Oryzias latipes: one gene and its partner. The protein of the gene in region 1 purifies or fractionates together with the protein of each later gene. This does not show direct contact. Links are inferred from orthologs where the notes say so. Each region holds a gene or a part of one and is shown in the gene's direction. Other genes may lie near its edges. The genes, in order: traf7 and map3k3.

Region 1 (3,920 bases):
TTTGTACTTTCAAAACTATGCAGTCAATAGGAAGTCCACTCAAATGTTGCTTTAGGGCTGAGCAGGGTGGTCCAGAGACAGACCGCTGTAGAGAAGTTTTGACAAAGGTTTTGGTAAAAACCGACAATTTCAAGAACCTGGTGCTACTCAAGCCTTGAGGTCAGAGCGGAAAAGTTTAATATAGCCTTGACCAGACGTTCTTTACCTTGGCCTACTTGGTAGTAAGTAAAACACTTGGTGGCTATTCCCAAATTCACATCATGTAAGGAATGCTTAAGACTTGCTTTGTTCATTAGAGATTCTCCTCTGATTGGGGGCGGGACTGTTGGTGCAGAACATCCCTGCTCCCCTTCCCATTATCCATAACTGAAAACGCTCACTCTCACTCATTTACTTTTCTAAAGTTTGTAAATAAATATGTACTACCGTCTGACTTTATCTGTATCAAGCAGGGTGAGCTTAGACCAGGGTCTCCTGTTTCATCAGATATCATCATATTATCATTAGATAACACTGGCTTTGTTCTGAGTTTGTTCCAGTTACCTTTATGTCATGTTAGGACAATGGTGGGATTTGGTACATTCATGAAAAGACATTGTAAGTATGCAATACATGAGAAAATAGGACTCCTCTGCTCCTCCTGTAGATGAGTAAGATACACTTTCATCTACAGTTTTTTTTTTTTAACATTTCAAAGCAAATTAAACTGGGGAGGTCAAAGGGAGTCTTTATATGGTCACACCTTGTGCTGCGTGTCCCTGTCTGTTCTGTGTCCCACTTTTTCCTAACTAGCCTTTTTCCCTTCAAACTCGCCCGAACTTTTTCATTCAAGTTTTCCTAAATAACATTTTTGGTTAATTGCAAAAATAAAAATGGGACCCAAAAAAAGTTAATTTTGTAATAACATAGTGGCAACACTTGATCTTCCAGCTCCTCCGCGACGTTGGTTAGTTCCAGCATTAGCCTCAGCAAGAACCACCCCTCTAAAAAAATTAAACTAAAAACACGTAACATTACAAGTGCTGAGCTTTCGAAGTAAAACTTGTTGAGTTCTTCTGACAAATTCTAGTTCTTCTGATCTGTCAGCTCGCCTTCAGCAAGAGCTAACAACAACGTAATAAAAGTATTTGGCAATACTATTCTGTGCAGTTTTTACTTTGGAATTTACCTTTCACAAGTGGACTTTGGGGAGTGTAGTCCATAACTAAACATAAGAGCAGTGACATCACCTTGTACGTACTACACATCCCAGAATACACTGCTTCCTCAATGGTTGGTAACGAGAGGAAAAGAGGAAGAATTCATCCACAGACATGGAGTAATGCAGGCGAAACAAAATGTAAGTTTTTGACCCTTTTCCCCGTCGACCGTTTTAAAAAACTTGTTGATCCAGTTAGAAAACAGTCCAAATTATCCGGTTGTACTTAGCAGCGTTCGCTGAAGGCTGCTAGAAGGAGTGATGCTAATTAAGACAGGGAAATTAGCTAACTTAAGCTAGCAAATTCTTTAGATTGTTGAGAATAATGTTTGAAAAGACGACAATCATATAAACATAACCCAGCGAGGTGGTCTCATTTCCTTTTTTCCGCGCGGGTGAGTAGTTTTATGTGTTAAGTTTTAACATTTATTCGGACATATTCACCGGAAAGCAGCGAACTTTGGCTGCGTTCCGCCCCCTTTCTGCTGGCTCGAGCTTCTTCTCCTTTGCGGGCTTGTTGCGGCGGCACACGGAGGCGCTGTGCGGGGCAGAGGGCACCTCCTGCACCTCCAGTTTGTGGGACTAACTTCCCAAAAATGCGGTTCATTTGAATAAAACATTAAAATTCCCACTCTGACCTTCTTTTGATCTATTTTCAAAGGGTTCCCAGCAGTGTTTAATTTACGAATATGCCGTTGTTAGACTAAAACGTCAATGCCTGTGTCGTTTTGTTGGACATAGTTTCAGCAGAGCGGTTGGAGTTCATTAGAAATTCACCTCTGAGTTGTGGGCCAGACCATTTTGCAAAGCAACCCTGCCCCCCTTCCCTTCCCCGTTGCTGAGAGCTCTCCGTTCACATGCTTCCCCGCTAGCTTACAGCCCAGCACACCCCCCAACCTAACATCAGTAGTGCATTAGATCCATTTTTATTGTTAAAGTAGGTTTTTTTTGTTTAAAAAGATTCATGTTTGGGAAGTCTAGATTGTATTCTCCCAGCGCTCTGCTTCCTTGGGTTTCCATTGTTCGGAGTAAGGTCAGCCTGCCTGTTTCTCGCTGTAGACGAGATTTAAATCTACTGCCATGTCGCCTAGCCCTACAGTCCAGTTTTGTGCCAGATTCCTGCTTAGACGAGGAAAACAAGTGGATGCATCGGAATGGAGCGGAGCACAAATACAATCAAACTGCATTTTTTCCTTCTGCTCCTGACAATCATTTTAATTAATAAATACTACGAAACGCAGTTTGATGCTTATTTTTTTTAAGATTCTCATTAATTTTTCCTATACAGTAAAGCCTTCTTTTTCGCGGGGGTTACGTTCCAAAAAGAACCCGTGATAGGCAAAATCCGGCGTTTGGCACGCTGTTTTACGTACGTGTACATATTAAACTGCAACGTTATTGACGCACAGGTAGAGAAGTCGTGGAGGGACTTTTTAGCCAATCAGAATGCGGAACACAATGCACGATGCAAATCCATGAAGTAGCAAAACCGTGAAAAGTAAACCGCGTTATAGCGAGGGATCCCTGTATACTGTTTTTTTGCTGGATTATGTAAAGAAGTTTTGACAAAGGTTTTGGTAAAAGCCAACAATTTCAAGAACATGAGGCGCACTGAACTAAAAGAGGCATTAGAGGAGACAAAAGATTAAGAGATAAGTGTATCAGTCAGTCAGTCAGACTTTATTAAGTGCGTTCACAGTAACTCTAGAAGTTGTTAGCGTTAGCCACGTTAGCGTAATCCCAACACCATCCAAACATGTTGACAGAGCGGTATGTTCTTCTCAGAGCCACTTCTCCATCAGTAAACACAACCAGAATTAATCCACACATAAGGTGCTCTAGACCAGTGTTTTTCAACCAGTGTGCCGCGGCACACTAGTGTGTCGTGGGAGACGGTCAAGTGTGCCGTGGGAAATTACTCTCATTAACTGATCTAAAAACATTTTCCATCTCCAGGATATCAGCTCTGTGTTCATCCAAACAGGCCCTGATAAAACACTGAGAAATTAGGAATATGAAAGATCGTAAAACATTTTTTTCTTTGTGTTTATTTGATTGTATTAAAGACATTTTGATAAGATTGACGGTACCGCGATTTAGCCGCAGCTTCAGCTCTGTTTTTGGAAAAGTCCCGCCCCTTTAACTGTCTCCACCAATCATTCTTGGAGTCTTAATCACAAATCATCAGTCTGACCAATCAGAAGTGGTTAAAGTCTTCACTTCTTTGTTTCGATTTAGCTCATAAGTCTCTCAGTTCTAACAAAAATACCAGCTAAAGCTCGTCTTTAGCGGTGTAGCTTTCCACAGAATCCGGTGTCAGACCGTGGTAAAAGTGAACAAAACAATGAAGCTCAGAGACGCTTGTCTGTCTGCGGTCGGTCGATATTTTTGCACTACATCTCCCATGATGCATTGGGTTAAAGTGACAGTGTCTTAGCGCACAATGAGTCTCTCCTCTTAACGTCTTAAAACTACAACAAAGACACATCAAACAGTTTTTAAATCTTTTAACTCAACTTTTATTACATCTTTAAAAAAAACAGCTGCAGCTTCCAGCTTTTTCTGCCATAATTATCACAAAAATGCATGTGAGATTATGGAGGGACTGTAGATTAATCCAGACTATGAGCTTTTCCCAGTTTTTCTTTTTTCCTTTTTTTTTGGATGCTGTTGTGCCGCGGGATTTTTGTCAAGGTTAAAGTGTGCCGTGGCTCAAAAAAAG
Region 2 (3,820 bases), about 19 Mb from region 1:
TTGAGTGGAACTGGGATCTCCTAAATGGTCTTTTGTGAGAAGCATCTTTAGTAAAAGCGATATATTGTACAGGAATGTCCTCATCCTCTGATTTCTCTCCCTCAGGATGATGTGAGGATAAAGTTTGAGTTCTCAGGGGAGAGGAGGTGAGTTTATTTGAGTTTTGTTTACACGGATGATGCATCCAAATGCAGTCCATGCACTCCTGAGAGATGTAAACACACAGGCATGCCGTTCTGGTCACACGTTCCAGCTCATGAGAGCGAGCGCACACTCCTGCAGTGAAACCAGATCGGTATGCGAGCTGCAGAAGGAAGAGGGAAAGGACTGTGGTTAGCATGCGGCTGCCAGCGCACACCACAAATATTTAAGGTGTACTTGAAAGAATCTGAACCCACCGAAAAGTGCAGCATGTGTGTTTTGCTTGCACGTGTGCATGTAATTCAAATGGCGTTTCCTCAGCAGCTGGTACAAATCTGCCATAATCTGTGGGAATTCTGCTCTTTTCATGCAGGATCCTGATGTTTGAAAGGCCTGTGCAGTTTGAGGAAATTCAGCAAAAAGTCAAGAGCGTGTTTGGTCAGCTGCTGGACCTGTATTATGTGAACAATGAGGTAAAGTGCTTTTCAGCATGTTCTCCGGCACTTTGGATTGTCTTTCACTTCTCCAAGCGCTCCACGTTCCTGTAAATTTGTCGTGTTTGCAAATGAGGCTGTCTTTTAGAAAACCAGTTAATCCAAAAACGTGGATGCTTAAAGGGACAAATAAAGAGAAAAAGGACATAAAATAAGAAGATGAAAAAAATACCGGGGCAAAGGAGTTGAGATGATGCAAAAACTAGACTCATGGAAGCTTCTTTTATTTGAAACTGGGTTAATGTAAGCAACCGCTCCTCATTTATGTATTCCATATTTTATCTAATTTGATCTCATTGTTTATCAGAGTGTTTTGGTGTCAAATATATCAATTTGTTGTCTTCATTAGAAAACTTATTTGTGCTGCTAAAAAACACAGTCATTTCTTTAAAAAATGAATTTCCCCTTCTAAAAAATAGGTTTCAAAGTATCATTTATTTGCAAATTATCTTTAAAGACAAGTACATCTAAAGGTTGAACCAATTGGTTGTTTTTTGTGCATGTTTTAAACCTTCGTTTTTATTCAATTGTTTGTGCTTTGTTAAATTCTTAAAGTTTTTACATGTGAATAAAAGATTTTTCTCGCTAAAAGGGTTCCTAGCATCTAAATTCTGATCAATTTTAACAGCGTTCCCAGAGTTTTTTAATGAGTAAGGATCAGTGAACTAGTGAACGACTAGTGATTTATTAAAAAGGAAGGGGTCCGGAGCAACCCCACCCCCATTCCCCTCCCTGTTGCTGAGAGCTCTCTGTTTACACGCGCTCTTGCTGGCTTACAGCCCTTCACACCTCCACTCTAACATTACCGGTGCAACAAAAGTGTCGAGCATTATTGTAGCGATCCAGTTTTGAGCCAGTTGGCAGCTCAGATGAGGAAAACGACGGAGCTTGTGGCCCACCTGCTGTGTTTTTTACGTTTTCAATTGGCGTTTTTTTTTTAATCATCTGCTCCTTTTTCACACCAATTAGAATAAAGAAATACTCAGAAATACAAATTTGAGGTTAATTCTTTTTATATGTGTCCATCATCAGGAAAATGCCATAAAAACACAATTTTCTGCCTCGTTTTATGAATTTTGTGTACAGATGCTTGTTTGTTTTATGAGTTTGCCTCCTTGGGTTGTTTCTTTGCAGATGTCCATTCCTTTAAGAGGTCAGGACGACTTGGACAAGGCCGTCGACTTGCTGGACCGAAGTTCCAACATGAAAAGCATCAGGATCCTGCTGCTCACTCAGGAGCACAGACATGTAAGACAGACTGGCCGTACGGTTGCAACACGCCGTTGCACCAACACCGTTTCTTCAGCACAAAGCCGCATTGTGTAAAAACACCACGCCTCTAATTCCCATCATCGTGATACTGTTGAGTCACACATGGAAGCTGGTTTTATCCCTGCGTCCTCCACAGGCCACCTCTCCCTCCCATCATGCACCTTGCAAGCAGGTGAGGATCAAGTCCTCCCAGTCCACTGGAGATGTCAGCACGTTGTACCAATCCTCTGAACCTAGGGGGCGCCACTTATCAACCGGTACATTCTCTTGAATACCTGTTTACCATCAATTCAAAGGGACTAATGTTGGTTGAATTAATCAAAGTTGTAGTTGTTTTTATGTTCATTTTATCATTTTTATTGTCTGTGATGCAAATAAATTCTGGTTGCACTCTTTCTTTCCTTTATTGCATCAGATTTTCTTCCTTTTTTTCTTCACTGTTACACTAAATCGTAGCAAATAGTTTTTAGTGTTTGATTCTTTAAAACCAGAAGTGCTGTTTAAAAAAAACTCCAAACTTCATTTTCTCTATATTCTGAGACTTGATTCTTTTCAAACAAAGGCTTTCCAAAGCATTTAACTCTTGTCGGTCCTTTAAAAAAATGAAGAATATCACAGTCAATGAAATTCCCACTTTCAAGTGTCACCTACCAACGGAAAAGTAAAGATGGAATCTATTTTGATTATTACAACCCTTTAAATGATTTGAGTTTTAAGAAAAAACATTCAAATAATTAAATGAAGTTAATCAGACAAACCATTTTATTCAAGCTGTTTTAATGAAATAAATAATAATTCCTATTTAAATCCCCTAAAAGGTTTTCAGAATAAAGACTAAGTAATTGATTCAAATCTTTTTTTATTGGTCTCATATGTGTTTTGAGTGATACTCATAGTACCGTCTGTGATCCTTCAGGGTCTCAGAACACTGGGCGAAGTTCTCCACCTCCTGGATATGTGCCTGAACGCCAGCAGAGGATCGCCCGCCAAGGTTCATACACCAGCATAAACAGCGAGGGGGAGTTCATACCCGAGACCAGTGACCAGTGTGTAAGTCCCACTGTCCCTTGAAATGGAGTACAGTGGAAATTTCAGCCATTGAGGGTAGTTTTTAGAATGCAACTCCCACAATGACAATCGAGAGACGACTGTAAAATAGTTTTTGCTTTTATTGTGAAAGTTTGTTCATGGGAAAAAAATGTGTTGTTTTTTTTTCGTACCCTCGCTGACTGGCTGAGTGTCTGTTTCAGGCCCCTCACTCTCCCCCCTCTTTCCCCCTAGTCAGATTTGCATGTGACAAATGGGGAATAAACAACACATTTTTGCAAAAAATGGCGGCTTTTCTGTTGGTTTCATCTTCATAGCAACCATTTTAGTTTTTTGGCTGCCTGGGGATGACAAACGGGTCTATGTCATTTCTGCCAAAGTAAACGTTGGAATTTCTTTGACAACAGAGATATATTTATCAACCATGACCACATTCCCCATATAGTCATATTGTATGCTATATCGTTTCATTGAGCTGGAGCCAGCGAGTCACGATTAAAATTTTCACAATATTCTGGTTAGAAAAAGTGTGCGAGCAACAGGGGAGCGGCACTTTTGCGAGCTCGCCATCTGAACACTGTTCAAAATCTACAGCTTCTAATTACAACCCCCCCCCCCCAAGTATTTTCCCAATGATGATGGTTAGGAGGTGATAGAATGAAAGCCTTAGGAGGAGTTTACATTTGTAGGTGGTATTGAAAGTGACTTTTTTTTTTCTAAATTCAAGACGGCTCGAGGTCAAAGGTCAACGAAACTTCGATTTTTGTTTGGCTGTGTCCAAATTTCGATGGCCGCGGGCTTCCCGGTCGACGTTGGCCCGGGTCCTTCGTCGAGCGGCTAGACCGGATGTTAACGGCTGTGAATTT

The links.
Region 2: the proteins of traf7 (region 1) and map3k3 purify together in Homo sapiens (affinity purification with mass spectrometry; 5 studies listed by BioGRID and IntAct, with this or other methods). This does not show direct contact. The link is inferred for Oryzias latipes from reciprocal best matches to the Homo sapiens genes TRAF7 and MAP3K3.

The regions. Positions count from the first base shown.
Region 1 is NC_019866.2:23,004,953-23,008,872, forward strand, and holds the start of traf7 (E3 ubiquitin-protein ligase TRAF7), read left to right. Parts: upstream 1-1,228; 5' UTR 1,229-1,339; intron 1,340-3,920. UniProt on the Homo sapiens protein: E3 ubiquitin and SUMO-protein ligase that plays a role in different biological processes such as innate immunity, inflammation or apoptosis. Potentiates MAP3K3-mediated activation of JUN/AP1 and DDIT3 transcriptional regulators.
Region 2 is NC_019866.2:4,128,301-4,132,120, reverse strand, and holds part of map3k3 (mitogen-activated protein kinase kinase kinase 3), read left to right. Parts: intron 1-105; coding exon 106-146; intron 147-514; coding exon 515-614; intron 615-1,769; coding exon 1,770-1,883; intron 1,884-2,043; coding exon 2,044-2,164; intron 2,165-2,823; coding exon 2,824-2,957; intron 2,958-3,820. UniProt on the Homo sapiens protein: Component of a protein kinase signal transduction cascade. Mediates activation of the NF-kappa-B, AP1 and DDIT3 transcriptional regulators.